4 linked regions of the Drosophila melanogaster genome follow. The protein of the gene in region 3 interacts with the protein of the main gene of each other region in a pairwise test. Each region holds a gene or a part of one and is shown on either strand. Other genes may lie near its edges.

Region 1 (5,693 bases), on a different chromosome or scaffold from region 3:
TACCGAAACTTTGCCATGGGCTCTGAAAAAAGCTCGAACAAAAGGAAATGTACGCTCTGGGCCGAGGGATATGGTAAATGGTAAATGGCAGAGGAGGATTATATCAGTTCTCTCGCTTTTATTTTTTTTTTTTGCTTTTTTTGGCCAGGTAATGCGCCCATAACGGATTAGGCGATATCCTCGGGGTTCCATCTCTGCAGTTCTGCAGGTTTTGGGTGCTCAACGCAAACAGTTTCCGGCGTTGCCCGGATAATTGTTACAATATACAAAATTTTCATTTAGTTTATTTGCCCAGCGACAACATGTCAGCTCAGCAGCAACATCAGCAAACAACAAACAGGCGCGCCCCCAAGTCACCACCATGGGCGAAAAGTGAATAATTTGGCATCAGATAAGTAGATTCGTGTTTTACTCGACTAAGAATGAACTACTTTAGCCTCTGTACAGACTTATAGACTCTATTCTAGGGACATTACATTCGAATTATGCCAAAAACTTGCCATTTTGGCCCATTGTGCAGCTGAACGAGTGTTTGTGCGCAGGAAACTTGTGTATTTATTTGACTTATGTGACGCTGTAAATGGGGAGAGTACGAGTTTGTACGAATGTGGGGCTTGGATGTTATTTAAAATGCAGACATGTGTAGCCTGTAGTTGCTGCTATTGCTGCTGGTGCGCCATTAAAATCCCAGCAACATTGTTAATGAACTTTTAATGACTTTTTGTGAGTACACACACTAAAACAATATCAACTTTGGCCTAGCAGGGTGTGTATGCGACACAAATCAGAGGGCTTTGGTTTTGTGTATTTTTTTTGGCCCAACCACCTTTTTTTCTGTATGGGAACAAGCGTGAAATCTAAATGCGAAACTAACTTTTGACACACTACTGGGACAACAGACGCAGTGCAGCAAAGTCGGCAAGTGCAGCAGGAACACTATTAATATGCGAAATTTGAATTGGATTCGAGTGGCTGAAAGGCCCGAGGAGGGGCAACTTGTTTACCCGGAAGCCCACTGGGCGTGTGGTGCGAACGTGTGCAGTGCATCTTGATTAACAAATCAACTGGAATTGGAATGCGATTGCATGCGATTCATCAGTAATCGGAAATCTTGGCTGCGGGCCAAATGGGGTCACCATCAATCCAGCAATCCTGCAGTCCTGTTACCCCCAAAGCAATGCGAAGCACCTTCGCCTCCATTTAAGGCAAATAAATCCATCAGCCAGGGGGAATCCCAAGTAAATGAGCCTTAAAGTGGGTTCATATGTACCGGAAAGTGATGGAAGAATGTTCACCAATACATGGAGTGGAATCCCTACCAATTGGGATGGTACAGAAATAGAGTTCCACTCCTTGTGCTATGAGCTGCAAAATTCAGTTTAATTTATAAATAATGCAGTACAAGATAGAAATTACTATTAGGGGATGTCTCTTTTGTAATCAATTGAATTTTTGAGTGCTGGATATTAAATTCATCAAATTAGTTTCTCATATAGAAATGGGAAGACACGAATATTATTAATGACGGAAGCAATTGTTAACTGCAAGTCATTTGTACTGAAAAGTAGATTAGCCATCTAAAAAGTAAACAAATGCGTAAGATAAAACAGTTTATAGGCAGCACCGTATGATAAGAAATTAGGTTTAGTTCCTTCTCGGATTTATTATCATGCCCTCTCTTTCGCTCGCTTATCGCTGATATTTAAACGCGCGCTTCTCTCCACGATCGCACAGTCGTCGTCGAGCCAGTGTTGCGAAAGGTGTGTTGTGTGTCTGCTCTCCGCTGTGGTGAAGTGTCGATCAGCTGATTTCAGCAAACAATTTAATTGATTTGTTATCAGCCGGCTAATTATTTACATTTTATAGAGTGCAAAATGAGTACAGCCAAGTGGGAGAACAACGAGGAGATTAAGATCTTTCGCGAATATCTTCGCATACCAACGGTGCATCCAAATGTGGATTACAGTGAGTTCCAATGGGCATGTATATCTTTATGAGGCTGCGATAAGAGTACCCTGATCTTTATGACCTTGCCATAAAATGTGTCTGCTATTTATAGCCGTTTGCACGGAATTCTTGAAACGCCAGGCTGCCAGCTTGGACCTGCCCGTGGAGGTTATCTATCCGGTGAACGAGCAGAATCCCGTGGTGGTGCTAAAATGGCAGGGTTCCCAGCCGGAACTGCCCTCCATCATTCTCAATTCGCACACGGATGTAGTGCCCGTTTTTGAGGAGAAGTGGACACACGGTCCATTCAGCGCGGATCTAGATGCAGAGGGTCGCATCTTTGCGCGCGGATCGCAGGACATGAAGTGCGTGGGCACCCAATATCTGGGAGCTGTGCGTGCCCTCAAGGCCAGTGGCTATCAACCCAAGAGGACGATCTATCTCACTTATGTTCCGGACGAGGAGGTTGGCGGCCACCTGGGCATGCGGGAGCTGGTAAAGAGCGACTACTTCAAGAAGCTCAATGTGGGATTCAGTTTCGACGAGGGAATCTCTAGTGCGGATGAAACCTACGCTCTGTACTACGCTGAACGGACTCTTTGGCGTGAGTAGGATTGACTCATACAAACAATTTAAGCTAGCCATGTTTTCCTGCAGATCTTCGTTTCAAGATCAGCGGAACTGCTGGTCACGGATCACTGTTGCTCCCGAATACTGCTGGCGAGAAGCTGAACTATGTGGTAGGCAAAATGATGGAGTTCCGCAAATCGCAAGTGCAAAAACTAGCTGACGACTCATCCCTCGAAATTGGTGATGTGACCACTGTGAATCTCACCCAACTGAGGGGCGGAGTCCAGAGCAACGTGGTTCCCCCATTGCTGGAAGCTGTATTTGATATCCGCATTGCCGTCACCGTGGATATCCCTGCCTTTGAGAAGCAGATTCGCGACTGGTGCGAGGAGGCTGGCGGCGGCATTGAACTGGAGTTTGAGATGAAAAACCCCTTTGTGGAGCCAACAAAGATTGACTCGTCGAATGCCTACTGGCTGGCCTTTAAGAAAGCACTCGATGACCTGTAAGGATGAGAAGCTCTGACAAAAGGCATGGCTCTGATATCCTTTCTCCTTGTTTCTTTCAGTGGCCTCAAGACACGGGTTCGTGTTTTCCCCGGCGCCACGGACAGTCGTTATATTCGCTACGCAGGCATTCCAGCTCTAGGATTCTCGCCCATTAACAACACCCCCATCCTGCTGCACGACCACGATGAATTCCTGAAAGCCGATACCTATTTGCACGGCATTGAGGTTTACAAGAAGCTCATTCCTGCCGTAGCTGATGCTTAGCGAACTCAATTCAATTATGAAATAATGCATTTAATGCTTACTTGTCGATGTTTATTGTAATAACTTTAAACAAGCAGGCTTATAAAAACCCATTTAAATAAACAATGTATGAATAAATAAGCCAGTCCATAGTCCATACCATTAATGGTGAGCAAAAAAAGGAAATTTAAATGAAAATGAATAAGTTTATGGTTTACTATTATGGCTTTGCTAGATAACATTAAGCTCTTAGCGCAAAGATGAAAATCCGCAAATTGTGGGCTCTTCTAATCAAGTAGCTTAAAGTCAACAACTGATAATGCCATTAAGTCAATCCACACTCAGACTTCAAACCAAACAGCACGGTGGATTACAAGTCAGTTCCTTTAGAACCACGGGGCATTCAACTCAAAATGTGCACTTGCACGGAACAATGGAAGAACGACGAGGAAATAATCATTTTCCAGGAGTATTTGCGCATTCCCTCGGTGCATCCAGACGTGGACTACAGTAAGGATTTGTTTTTCCGCTCCTTGGATTTTGTTATCCCTATTTCCCTTGCAGCTGCATGCGTGGAGTTCCTAAAACGCCAGGCTAACAAACTTAATCTCCGCGTGGACGTGGTGTATCCTGTTGTGCCTTCGAAACCGGTGGTGATTATGAAGTGGCTGGGCAAGCATCCCGAGCTGAAATCCATTATATTGAACTCACACATGGACGTGGTGCCCGTGTTTCCCGAAAAGTGGACCCATGAGCCGTTTGGTGCCCACATAGACGCCCAAGGCCGGATTTATGCACGCGGTGCCCAGGACATGAAGTCCGTGGGATGTCAGTACATGGCTGCGGTCCGTGCACTCAAAGCCAGTGGCTATCAGCCAAAAAGGACCGTATATTTGACTTTTGTGCCCGACGAGGAAACTGGCGGACACATGGGCATGGCTGAATTCGTCAAGGGTGATTACTTCAAAGCCATGAATGTGGGCTTTAGCCTGGACGAGGGCATCGCCAGTGAAGATGACACTTATCCTGTATTTTACGCCGAGCGTACATTGTGGCGTAAGTCTTCCATTTGCATCAGTAGCAATATATTCTGATTCATTTTATACCCCTGCAGAACTTCGATTTAAATTCAGTGGCACTTCAGGTCATGGATCGCTGCTGCACAAAAGCACGGCTGGCGAAAAGTTTCACTTTGTGATGGATAAGCTGATGAAGTTCCGAGAAACCCAGGTCAAGCTACTGGCCGAGGACTCCTCCTTGCAGTCCGGTGATGTGACCACTTTGAACCTGACCCAACTCAACGGTGGCGTCCAAAGCAATGTGGTTCCCCCCGTACTAGAAGCCACTTTTGATATTCGCATAGCCATCAACCAGAATGCCGATGCAATGGAGAATCAGATTCGCGAGTGGTGCAACGAAGTCGGTGGTGGAGTGGAACTGGATTTCACGCTGAAGTGCCCCTCGGTGGTGACCAAGATAGACGACTCCAATCCCTACTGGCTGGGCTTCAAAAAGGGACTAGATGAACTGTAGGTAAACAAAGATTGTGTAGTTTTCACTTCATAATTTGTTGAAATTTTCCAGAGGTTTGATCACCCATACACGAGTTTTCCCCGGCGCCACCGATAGCTTCTACGTCCGGCAAGTGGGAATTCCCGCTCTGGGATTTTCACCCATCAACAACACCCCGGTGCTGCTGCACAATCATGATGAATATTTGCGGGCCGACACATATCTGCACGGAATTCAGGTGTACAGGAAGCTCATCCCCTCTATTGCTGATTCATAAAATGTTCAAGCGAAGTTCCACTCATAAATGGAAATCAATATGCTACAATTGGTCTTATCGCTTATGAGTAATGTTTTTGGCTCGATGAGTGTAGGACCAAAATTAAATGTTTAAATGGTGTGACTACTACAAATCATATCTGTTTCTAAACAAATGAAAATCACACACTGATAACACGAGTTTCAGAAGAGAGTTTTTGTCATGGACTTTGCCCTCATTCAATATCCAATAAATCGTCACAACTATTGATATCGTTCTCAAAAACTAACGTAACCTTCACGTAAAGGGGTTGTATTTTATATATACATCATAATTATCAATAATTACATTAATATGTATTCTATTTTCTTATCAAACCAAATACAAATTATAATAACCCATTTTTTCGCAGACCATAAACGACGGTGGTTGAGTTTTATTGGTGTTATGTGAACTTTATCGAATTGGCTACCGTTTGCTATTAGACATTTGTTTTGGTAGAATTTTGTACAAGAATATGTGCTGTTATCATTTCTATAACAACCGAGTTTGATAACGAACTCATTATTTGATAATAATACGAAGCCAAGGCCATAAAACCAAAATCACCCAACACACAAAAATTTCTGTATAAGTTCATTTTTTGCCAACTGCGG
Region 2 (3,599 bases), about 13 Mb from region 3:
GTCCCTAAAACGCTTTTTGCTTACGTGCGCCTTAGTTGAATTTTATTTTAACAATTCTCGGCGGAGTTTCGTTTTTGTAATTCGAGAGCTTAAAAAGAAACTCTTTGAAAAGATTCGGGGAATATTCCTAAGCTTGTCAACAAGGTGGTTTATTTTTTATTACTCAGCAAAGTTGCCTAAGTGGATTGAGAGCAAAGTTATTCAATGTTTAGTGTCTATTAAGCAACTCGCTCATCTTGCATAGTTCATCTATTGTATAATAAGGCTCATGTGATTTCAAATTGTAAATAATTAAGAACTATGCACCGAATAAAAGGCTATTATTTTGGCTCTCAACTAAATCCGATGCCACAAAATCGTGCTCTTGGTCCAGCGCTGCAACGATTCGCAGACGGGAAGCTCAAGTTTGGCCTAATCTCTTATTCGCTCTTGACTTGGCGTCATTTTAGTCATTAAAACAGGTTCAGACTGAGTAATCTGCCAGCCACTTCAGGCCAAAAGCGAAGGGAATGGCCAGATTCTTCCACTACGCTGCCTTAGTTAGTTGCCCTCTAATAAACTGGCAGCGGAAATTTTTAACAAGTTGTTGCCAGTGCACAAAACTGGGCTGTAATTAACGCAGGACAGATGCCGCGCAGGGCAGGGAGGGGGAAATGGGGATTCGGGATGCAGGATGATGGTGGCCAGGAGGAGCTGGTGGAGTAGCATCGTCTGGGTTAGACGAGATTTTGCATATCAGATTGCTGCCCCGGCTCCAGTTTGTCCCTGCCCTGTGATTTAATAATCAGAGCTGGCTGTCAAAACTATCCAGCAACTGCAGCGCTGCGAAAGAATTGTCATATTTGTTGATAAGCTGAATACCCTACAGCAATCTAAAGTTTATATAATAAATATATACAAAATATACCGACAAACCTTAAGTATCCAATTGGATACTTAAATAATACTTAATACTAATACTTAGACTTAACATTTAGATAGTCCAGTAAACTATTATGCTTCGTGACCAATAAAATAACAGTGAGTGGTTTCATGTACTCATAGTTAGGGTATGTTTGGATGAAGGGCTTAGCCAGCTCGTTTCTTTTGCCTCGATTTTTCCTTTCCAGCCCGCCTTTCTCCGAATTGCTTCCGCCCCCTTAGTTTTCCATTCGAAGGGCGGGGGGAATGCAGGCTGCAATGGAAAGCGCGTGCAAAAATGAAATGTGCCAATGTGGCGGATGGGAGATGCGGAATGGGGAATGGGAAATGGAATTCGGTGGTTTGGGGAATGCGGAGGCCAAGTCCTCGGCAATTTGCATAAATTTAGATCAGTGACACATGGCGTCCACTAATGGAGGCAGTGGGAGCAGCCGGAGTGACTGCGACTGCCACTGGGATGGGACATATATCACGGGGGGTATCAGGCCAGTCGACCCGCGGACTCAAACAGTTTGGCAAACATTGCCAATTGGCCTTTAATTAGCGGCTAATCCGTTTGCCACCGCCTGCGAGTGGGCGTGGTCACTGCGAAAGCACCTTCTATGCCATTCCCCACTCGTTTTGGTCCCAATTTCGCATCTCGGCAGGTGGCGATGATGACCCTGCCCGGCAGTCCAATTAAAATGTCGTGTATCTCTGCGGTGGCGCCACTGCCACTGCCACTGCCACTGCCCACAGAAGGTCCATTGGATTCCACTTGGGTGGCCGGCGAAAGTGCCGCTGCGACCACTCTCACCCACTAACCATGAAATGCCAATGGAATCGGAGACTGCGAATTGCCGCTGCGGATTGTCCAGTGGAGCGAAACTTTCAAGCGGAATGCGATATTTTGATGGGAACAAGATGTCCAGCTTTCTGATCTTGTGATCTTGTTTTGATTAAAGTACATTTTTGATACACTTGTAAGATGCCTTAGAGACTTAACTCCACAATCATTCGAGCTCGTTTAGTGTGCTCATTTACACATTACACTAAACTATTTATTGGAAATAATAAACTCTTTTTGAACACATAATGGCTCTGGAAGCGATTTGCGGCATGAATAAAATGCCTTTTATGCGGCGCTTCGATGACTTGCAGTCCGAATGGCAGAAGGAGCAGCTTCGCGAGGCAACCAGTAATTTTGAGAATCCCTACGAACTGATGGCGCCTCCCTTCGAAAGAGTTAGTATAGGTTTCATAATCCAAAAGATCCATCTAAGATTGAAACTCTTCTCAAGCCCGCTGAAAATCTGCCCAAGATCCTGTCGCACTGTGGCATTCGCATGGATTTCGATCACGGCACCACCACTCTGGGTTTCAAGTATCGCGGAGGAGTGATTCTGTGTGCTGATTCTAGGGCCACCTCTGGCCAGTATATTGGATCCCAGACGATGAGGAAAATAGTCGAGCTGAACGACTATATGCTGGGCACATTGGCCGGCGGAGCCGCCGATTGCGTCTACTGGGATCGGGTTTTGGCTAAGGAGTGTCGCCTGCACCAGCTGCGCTATCGGAAACGCATGACCGTGGACACGGCTGCCCGGATCATCTGCAACATATCCACGGAGTACAAGGGCATGGGTCTGGTGATGGGCATGATGCTGGCCGGCTTCGACGACGAGGGACCCAAGCTGATTTACGTGGACTCGGAGGGCATGAGATCCCATGGTCAAGTCTTCTCCGTGGGCAGCGGTTCTCCATATGCGCTCGGCGTATTGGACACTGGGTACCGCTATGATCTCTCCGATCAGGAGGCCTATGACCTGGCCAGGCGAGCGATTTACCATGCGACCAGTAAGGATGCCTATTCTGGTGGAATCGTGCGTCTCTACCACATTCATTCGGAGGGCTGGCGAAATATCTGCAATACGGACTGCTCCGATCTCCATGACTCGTATTGCGCATCTGGGTGTCCGGGGAACGAGAAGGATGTAGGAAACGTAGGCGATCCCGACAATGATAAGCCCTGTTCCAGTGGCTGGACGAAGAAGAATATCACAGCAGACAATTTGCAGACTAAGCTGGCAACGGTATGAAAATTTGGAAATTATTGGAGCAACATTAGCAAAAATTTCTGTGGAAGTAAAACTTCTGTCGTGCAAAACGTATAAAGTGTTAGTGTTTATGGTAATGGGAATTTGTGGCAGTGAAGAAGTCCGGAATTTATCGTGAGAATAGTTTTCCGAACCGTATGCTGGATTGTTCTATCTAATCCTCTTCAGTTCTAAAAGCACACATACAGATACATTTCAAAGTTTTAGCCACTAATAATGAAAACAAGAGCTGCATACATACAAATGCCTTTCGCCCCGCACTCGCCACACTTTAAAAGCTGTGCTTCTATCTAATTTTTTTCACTCCTCAAACTCCCCTCTCTTCCATCCTCCACTGCGGAAAATATACGAGCAACTTTCGCTCGCTAAACGAACTTTTCCTATAAATCAAAATAATAACTTCTAAGCTCGCAATGACTTTCCCCAAATGGGCGTGCCGCACACAAAATACGGCCAACGAAATGTTCGCCGAAATGTTGCACTCCGTGTCTTTGGGTTGTCATCAACAAATGTTGCAGATGCCACTGCCTGGAGACTCCGTCCGGGGGATCTGCTCCTCACTGCCCATCCCCTCCCCCTCCC
Region 3 (3,017 bases):
CTGTTAACCAAACGTTGTCTTCGGGGTCCACGGTCAGGCCATGTGGCATGTAAAAACTGTGTGTGAGATGGGATTTAATTAGGAAGGGCATACTTATAAGGCTGTAGAAGTACATTGCTATTCTAGTGATTACTTAAATTTAGATATGCCTTCAGAATTTCACAGCCGAAATTAAAATCTTACAAAATACTTTTGACTATGTGTTAGAACTTTTGAACTTACAAATGCAAAATGCTTTTACTACCGATTTAATTTAACTTCACCAGATAATTTAAACGAAAAATGAAGTAGGTATTATACAAACACAAAACAGCGCGGCCATAAATGAGTACTGAGAAAAATAAAGAACGATATCCTAGACAATCAGTTACCCGATACTCAACTAGTGGGGGTTCGGTGGAATTGTGGGCAGGGCTTAAATGTTTGTGGCATATTGATCGGACAGACGGAAATGGCCACATGGACTCGGAAGAAATGCTTCCTTCTACCTGTGCCTAGATTAGATTTCAACGAATGCAATACACACTTTGCTAACCTGCAAACTAGTATTTGCAATTAAATAAGCACTGGATAGAGCTACCTAAAGTACCGAACAAGGGAGTTACAATTTCTTACAAGTTCTTGCCCCAGTCGTATTGCACTTTGCCTGTTGCGGGCTCCAGTGCCAGGATGGTGCTCTCCCTGATGGGCCCGCGGTACTTCTCCTGGTACTGGTTCCTGTTATCAAATGTGGTCTGTCCCCAGACGCGATTCACGCGATGGAAGATTACCACGTTGCCGGCCTTGTCGAAACTTACAGCTGTCACTGCACCCAGTTTCACATTGTTTGCCGGCCAGGCGTTCTGGTAAACGTAAGCTGGGGATCGAGTTTTAGTGAATTACACGGTGTGCATTTGTAAAAATACGCCAACTCACTGTTGTTTAGCTTGGCCAGCTCAGTCTTGACGTTGGGGACAGTTTGCTTCGGAGGCTGTGGCCAGTTGAGCTGCGTGGCTCCCGATCCTGCTCCGGATCCCTTGAGTATCTGGTGCAGGCGTTCGTTGTTGTTGCTATTGCTGTCCACATTATGCAGATAACGCTGTGGACTTTGAGTCTGAAATGGGGGATTGAGATTAAGATTAAGCCTCTAGGTGAAGCAAAATAATTGCCACGGAGCACGGCGCCCACGCACACATGCGAAGTACACACTACTGCAAAATCAATATGCTAAACATATGTGCGCGCACTGCAAACATATGTTTCCTTGGGTCAAGCAGCGACTTGGGACTTGTAAACTCCTCAACCTGGAAATGCTTTGTTTATCGCTCGGGATTTACCTGCGACACTGCTGGTCTAATGCAGAGTAGGAGGTGGAGGAGCAGGCAACAGATTGCCAAGGACTTGCTGCCCAGGCACTTGGCGCTGTCGGTGGATTTCATTGCTTTGGTGTCCCTTCGAATGTATATATATAGCTGCCCGAATGCTGGCGGAGATCCAGTCCGGCGTAGTTGTGCTCGTAAACAAACGTCTCGTCTCGTTTTGGAACTACAAATCAACTTATGACGCGGCCATCTTTGCTTGCGATTGAGATGTTATTTGTTCAGCGGCGCAGGTAGAATGTGTGTTTACAGGGGCTCAATGTTATGCAGTTATGCTGTGCTATAATGTAACCATATTTGGTTACAAGCGCTCTATTGATATTTTGAATGAATGAATTATCAATACGTCAAAACTGATTAAATTGAAATGCAAGCGGTGGTTTCTTACAATAGGAAGAATATTAACAGGTTAACAGTTAAATGTTTCCTCATACAGTTAGCATGTAAAATGAATCCCTCTTCTATGATGCGCCCCTGATCGAACAGCTGTTTAAGAGGCGTTAGTACGTTTTCGGGTCTCACTTCTTCACTTTTGTTTACTTCCGTGTTTTTAGCAAATCTGTTTGAAGAAATATCATTTGCAAAATGTCGCAAACAGATCTGAACAAAAGTATTGAGATAATAACCAAGACCGAGGAGTTGGCCGACAAAATTCTGGTCAACAAGCAGGAACTGACGGTAATGGATAAACGCCGCCAAGAAACCCGGCAGGCAATGCGGCTGATGGAGAAGTCGGAGGACAAGAAAGTTTGGATCACTATTGGCAGTATGCTAGTCAAAATGGAGCGGGAAAAGGCATTGGAACTGCTCAAAAAAGGTGGGTAACTGCTCGTCCACTACATGCTATTATTAACTATAATTTCTGACAGATCAACAGAAAATAGAACAGCAAATCAATCTGATATACTCAGATCAGAAAGTTCTGGTGAACAAACATCGCGATTTGGAGTTCAAATCGCCCTTCTCGGGTACACATCTTAAGCCCTTAGAAAAGAAGGAGTTCGACGCTCTGAAAGCAAATCTCCCATTACTGTGAAAATCTTCATTTAAGTAAATTTTAGTGACCTAAACCTTGAATGCAACATGACCCAAAAAAAGATCCGCATTAGCGAGGTATATAAAGTAAACAATTTTGTATTAATAACCTTACATATGTTGTTTATTTGCTACTAAATTCATTGCAGTCCAATACATATGGTATACAAATTGGCAGTTAAATGGCTTTAGATTCCGCTTAGTTGCCTATAAAAACTAGTGCATTTGCCTGGAAATTTTTTAAATTAAAGATTTTAATTTTTTAAGCTGGCGCCAGGAAAGTATCGCATAGGAACCACAATCGATATATCTCCAAACTGCCATCGCCAGGTGTGACCATGCTGCTGGCTGAGTGTGACCCATCCGCTCAAAGCTCCCGCAGCACATTTGTTGTAGCGCTCCGCCGTTGTTGACTTGTTTCGTCGTAGGCTCCGATTGGACCGATCTGATCAGACTTTGAATCGATCGCATTGATTTCGAAACGCAGACTCTTAATCGCGAACTAGCCGAATGCACAAGATCAGGTCGAAAACACGCTGACAAATTAATTATATACACTAAAAACCTGCGAAAACGTGCGCTCTTACGTCGGCCGTGTGAGTGCGTGTGTGTGGTGCGCTCTTC
Region 4 (3,461 bases), on a different chromosome or scaffold from region 3:
CGTCGGCCACCCGGAGTACGTGCGTCCTGGAATGCGCATCCTGTTCCGCGAGGGCACCAGCAAAGGAATCGGAGTTGTCACGCAGGTGTTTCCGGTCAACAAGACAGGCATAAAGTAGAGAAGCGGGCCAGATGGATAGTTCCAATGACATATCTATATATCTCAAACAAAGATGACATGTACATATACTTAATTAGCAATTAGAGGGAGGCGTTAAATCTTAGGCAGATCTTCTGTACACTTAGTTTCGGGTTCTGTGATTTTTCGTTTAAGCTCGGCTCACAATCGGATGTTGTGAGTAATCCTTCTCAATTAACCTTATTTCATTAAAATCCACCCCAAAATGCATACAATGTTGCTTTCAATTCGCGTCCGAGCCAAAGAGTATAAATAATTACCGAAGTATTAATTTTTTTCCTTCTAGCAGATGTACATATATATGTACATATGATCAAAACCGACTAACTTTAAGCAACATTTACCATCAATTCTATGGTATACAAAGACGAAAAAGTGCTCAACAATTTGTTTATTTCTGTCTACTGCTAATGTGCTCATCTTGACTACTGTTATCACTTGTTGCCGGGACACTGGCGCCACCTTCAATTTCCTCCGCCTTGGCTGGCACTTCGGATGTGAACCGGAAGAGGACGGGCACCTCTCCTATGGAGGGATTTCCGTTCGCTTCCAACAGGCGAATCCACGAGAGCAATGAGTCCTTTGTGGAGGTGCCTGTGGCACAGATGGCCATAATGGTTCCGTCGTCCTGTTGGTGGACAGAGCGCAGCTTTCCCAGCTGGTTGTGTCGCCTTGGTGGAGCACGACCAAAGAAGGGTACTTCGATGTGGGAGACATCGTCCTCGTCCAGCTGCCGCTCATCTAATTCAGACAGGAACTCAGAATCTGCATCAGCGCGCAGGGTAAAGTAGTTGATCCGGCGATTCCTAAGCCATATGTGAAAGGGTCCCTCGATGTACAGAGCTTTCTGGCGAGAGTGCTCCCGCAGCAGTTTCTCCTGCTCGGGACTCATTCCGCTCACGATCCACGTATCGTCAATGGCATCCTTCAGCTCGCTGGTCTCGAAAACCGTGATTTTGGACCGCAGGTCGACCGTGCACATCCGCTCTAGCGCCAGCTTGGCCATTTCCAATGTATCATCCGGAACAGGATCGGGCAGTGGCCACGGTGATAGGTTCTTAAACTTTGGCATCCAGTACATCATGCGCCAATACTTGCGCAGTGGATGTCCCTGCCTGCCAAACACATTAAGCAGCATCGCCTCCATCTCGTGATCGGGCATCACCCCGCAATCTTCCATCTGCTCAAGCAGATCAATGATACACTGCTGCTGTTTGGGGTAGTGCATGAACTCTGCCTGGAACATGTTGGTGGGTATGAACTTGCCCTTGGGCATCACGTTGATCAGGGCCTTGTAGACCTCCAAGTCTCTTTCCACCCCGAAATCCGCCATATTCTTGAGTGCCGCGTAGATGAACTCCACATGGTTCCGACGGTGGACGTCGCGCTCCTGGAATATCTCCACCATGGTCAGGTAGCTGTTTTTCGTCCTGTCCTGGGCGGCGGCAAAGGGGTTCCTTAAAGCCGGCAGGTTTTTGGTGCCGGGTTTTTGTGCCCTGGGATTTGGATTCGGGTTCTGTTTCGGATTTCCCTCGTCCGTAGCGTAGTTTCGAAAGCGGCTGACCAGCGAATGGCCTCCATTGCCGTGCAGCCGGAGCAGGCATTGTGCGCGGCGCAGCATTTTTTATTTATAATTAATTAATTGAATAAATTTGCAAATACGATTACAAAACATTGCACAAGCTGCGGAACTAGTTCGCGTTTTGCAGCACTGCTGCTGCAACATATGTTTTAATAGTGCCGATAGTCTAGCGTATTTAGCCAAATTTGGTAAATTCTAGGGCGAAAAATTGTATTTAGTTTCGGCTGTACCCAAAGATTTTCAAGCTTAAATAGTGTCATGACCGTAATACACGCTTAAAGTCATACGCTAGTAACAAAAGTTGAAGTGAATATTGCATAAGCTCATTGTGACTACCTTCACGAATCTCTTCCTTCGGAGAACAGCTGTTTGTCTGGCTTAGGGCCATCATCACTGGTGACTGAGTTGCTCAACACTGTATTAACTCAGTGTATCCTTTGTGCTGCTTTTTGTTGTTATTTCACCGTTTTCTGCGTTATCCTTATTCGCATAGTTTTCGGTTGTTTTTCTGTTGTTTAAGTTAGTTCCGAACCCTGAGTTATTTGCACGGGCGCGCGCCTACATAAAAATGCAATCCAACAAGCCGATCTCTGCGGCGGAGGCCTGACCAGCAGGCAGTATCTATAACAGAAGCAAAACAATAGACTTTGGCTTGGTCCCAAGGAGCACCCACCAGCCCAACGTTATTCGAGACTTCCAGCCGCCAAGGATGCACTGAAGGGAAGCGGAAACCCAAGGAGCATTTGATGTTCCCGCAATGCGAAGAGGGTAAAGAGGATTCGGGCATCACATTCTACTGACATGTTGTGCTTCGACTCGGAGAGGATGAACTGGTACTACCACGTCCTGGCCAGGCGTCCCTACCTGGTGGTCGTCTCCATTGCTGTCTACTGTGTCGCTTGCATCATCGTGGCCCTCGTCCTGAACAAGCTGCCGGACTTCAGTGATCCCACCTTGGTTTGTCCTATTAGATTTGTCCAAAACATGTTCACTGCTTGATATTTGGAGAATATATCTTATCTTATTTTACAATTATTTTTTAAAATATTGAGCACATGGAAATAATCCGAAAATGTCTAAATGATATTATTTTATTTAAATTTCGTTATATATCTATTTTTTTTAAATATTAAGAAGTTAAAATATTTTAAATATTCACAGAATTGCTATAAGAAACTACAGGATTACTTGTATACAAACTATTCCTGTATTATATTTTCATTGTTATTATGTTATTGTTGTAAAAATTGTGGAAAATAATAAGATTAATTTCTCACTAATATGACTTATTTGATCACTTTATAATGTGATTATTTGTCATGATTAATATTTATGATTCAACATTTATTTCACTTTAGGGCTTCGAAACCCGCGGCACCAAAATTGGAGAACGACTGACGGCCTGGTACAACCTGCTGCAAGAGACTGACCACCATGGTGCTCTTTTCTCAAATCCATCGGATCTGTGGGAGAGGAGACGGGTAGAGCAGGGCTATGTGGAGACGAAGCTGCATCCGAATCACAGGCGACGCAAAAACAAGCACAAGAACAGAAACAAGAACAAGCGACGCAAGGAACAAAATCAAAGCAGCCACGAGCATCACGATGTGGCGCAGAAGATGATGCAGTTCAAAAAACGGCTGAAGGCTACTAGTTCTCCCTCTCCAAATCTCGGCTTTGACACCTGGATCGGGGACAGTGGAGTATTTCGCGACTACGAGATTACAAACGACAGCGCTTC

The links.
Region 1: the proteins of Pdrg1 (region 3) and CG6726 interact in a two-hybrid assay, tested with the Drosophila melanogaster proteins (one large-scale study listed by BioGRID).
Region 2: the proteins of Pdrg1 (region 3) and Prosbeta5R1 interact in a two-hybrid assay, tested with the Drosophila melanogaster proteins (one large-scale study listed by BioGRID).
Region 4: the proteins of Pdrg1 (region 3) and ECSIT interact in a two-hybrid assay, tested with the Drosophila melanogaster proteins (one large-scale study listed by BioGRID).

The regions. Positions count from the first base shown.
Region 1 is NT_033777.3:23,089,997-23,095,689, forward strand, and holds CG6726 (uncharacterized protein), read left to right. Parts: upstream 1-1,727; 5' UTR 1,728-1,760; intron 1,761-1,780; exon of another isoform or gene 1,781-1,866; 5' UTR 1,867-1,874; coding exon 1,875-1,965; intron 1,966-2,059; coding exon 2,060-2,551; intron 2,552-2,604; coding exon 2,605-3,022; intron 3,023-3,085; coding exon 3,086-3,290; 3' UTR 3,291-3,437; exon of another isoform or gene 3,438-3,463; intron 3,464-3,501; exon of another isoform or gene 3,502-3,504; 3' UTR 3,505-3,682; coding exon of another isoform or gene 3,683-3,779; intron 3,780-3,833; coding exon of another isoform or gene 3,834-4,325; intron 4,326-4,383; coding exon of another isoform or gene 4,384-4,798; intron 4,799-4,853; coding exon of another isoform or gene 4,854-5,058; 3' UTR 5,059-5,188; downstream 5,189-5,693. Other genes in the region: CG17110 (uncharacterized protein), read left to right, coding at 3,683-3,779, 3,834-4,325, 4,384-4,798, 4,854-5,058.
Region 2 is NT_033778.4:23,308,125-23,311,723, reverse strand, and holds Prosbeta5R1 (proteasome beta5 subunit-related 1), read left to right. Parts: upstream 1-1,907; 5' UTR 1,908-1,995; coding exon 1,996-2,145; intron 2,146-2,201; coding exon 2,202-2,999; 3' UTR 3,000-3,070; downstream 3,071-3,599.
Region 3 is NT_033778.4:9,958,602-9,961,618, reverse strand, and holds Pdrg1 (Pdrg1 prefoldin-like subunit), read left to right. Parts: upstream 1-1,886; 5' UTR 1,887-1,943; coding exon 1,944-2,175; intron 2,176-2,227; coding exon 2,228-2,394; 3' UTR 2,395-2,500; downstream 2,501-3,017. Other genes in the region: Pal1 (Peptidyl-alpha-hydroxyglycine-alpha-amidating lyase 1), read right to left, coding at 1-56, 616-856, 916-1,093, 1,317-1,418.
Region 4 is NT_033777.3:5,854,969-5,858,429, reverse strand, and holds ECSIT (ECSIT), read right to left. Parts: upstream 1,846-3,461; 5' UTR 1,760-1,845; coding exon 530-1,759; 3' UTR 516-529; downstream 1-515. Other genes in the region: CG2017 (uncharacterized protein), read left to right, coding at 1-118; disp (dispatched), read left to right, coding at 2,522-2,677, 3,079-3,461. UniProt on the Drosophila melanogaster protein: As part of the MCIA complex, involved in the assembly of the mitochondrial complex I. Involved in the innate immune response; promotes the production of antibacterial peptides.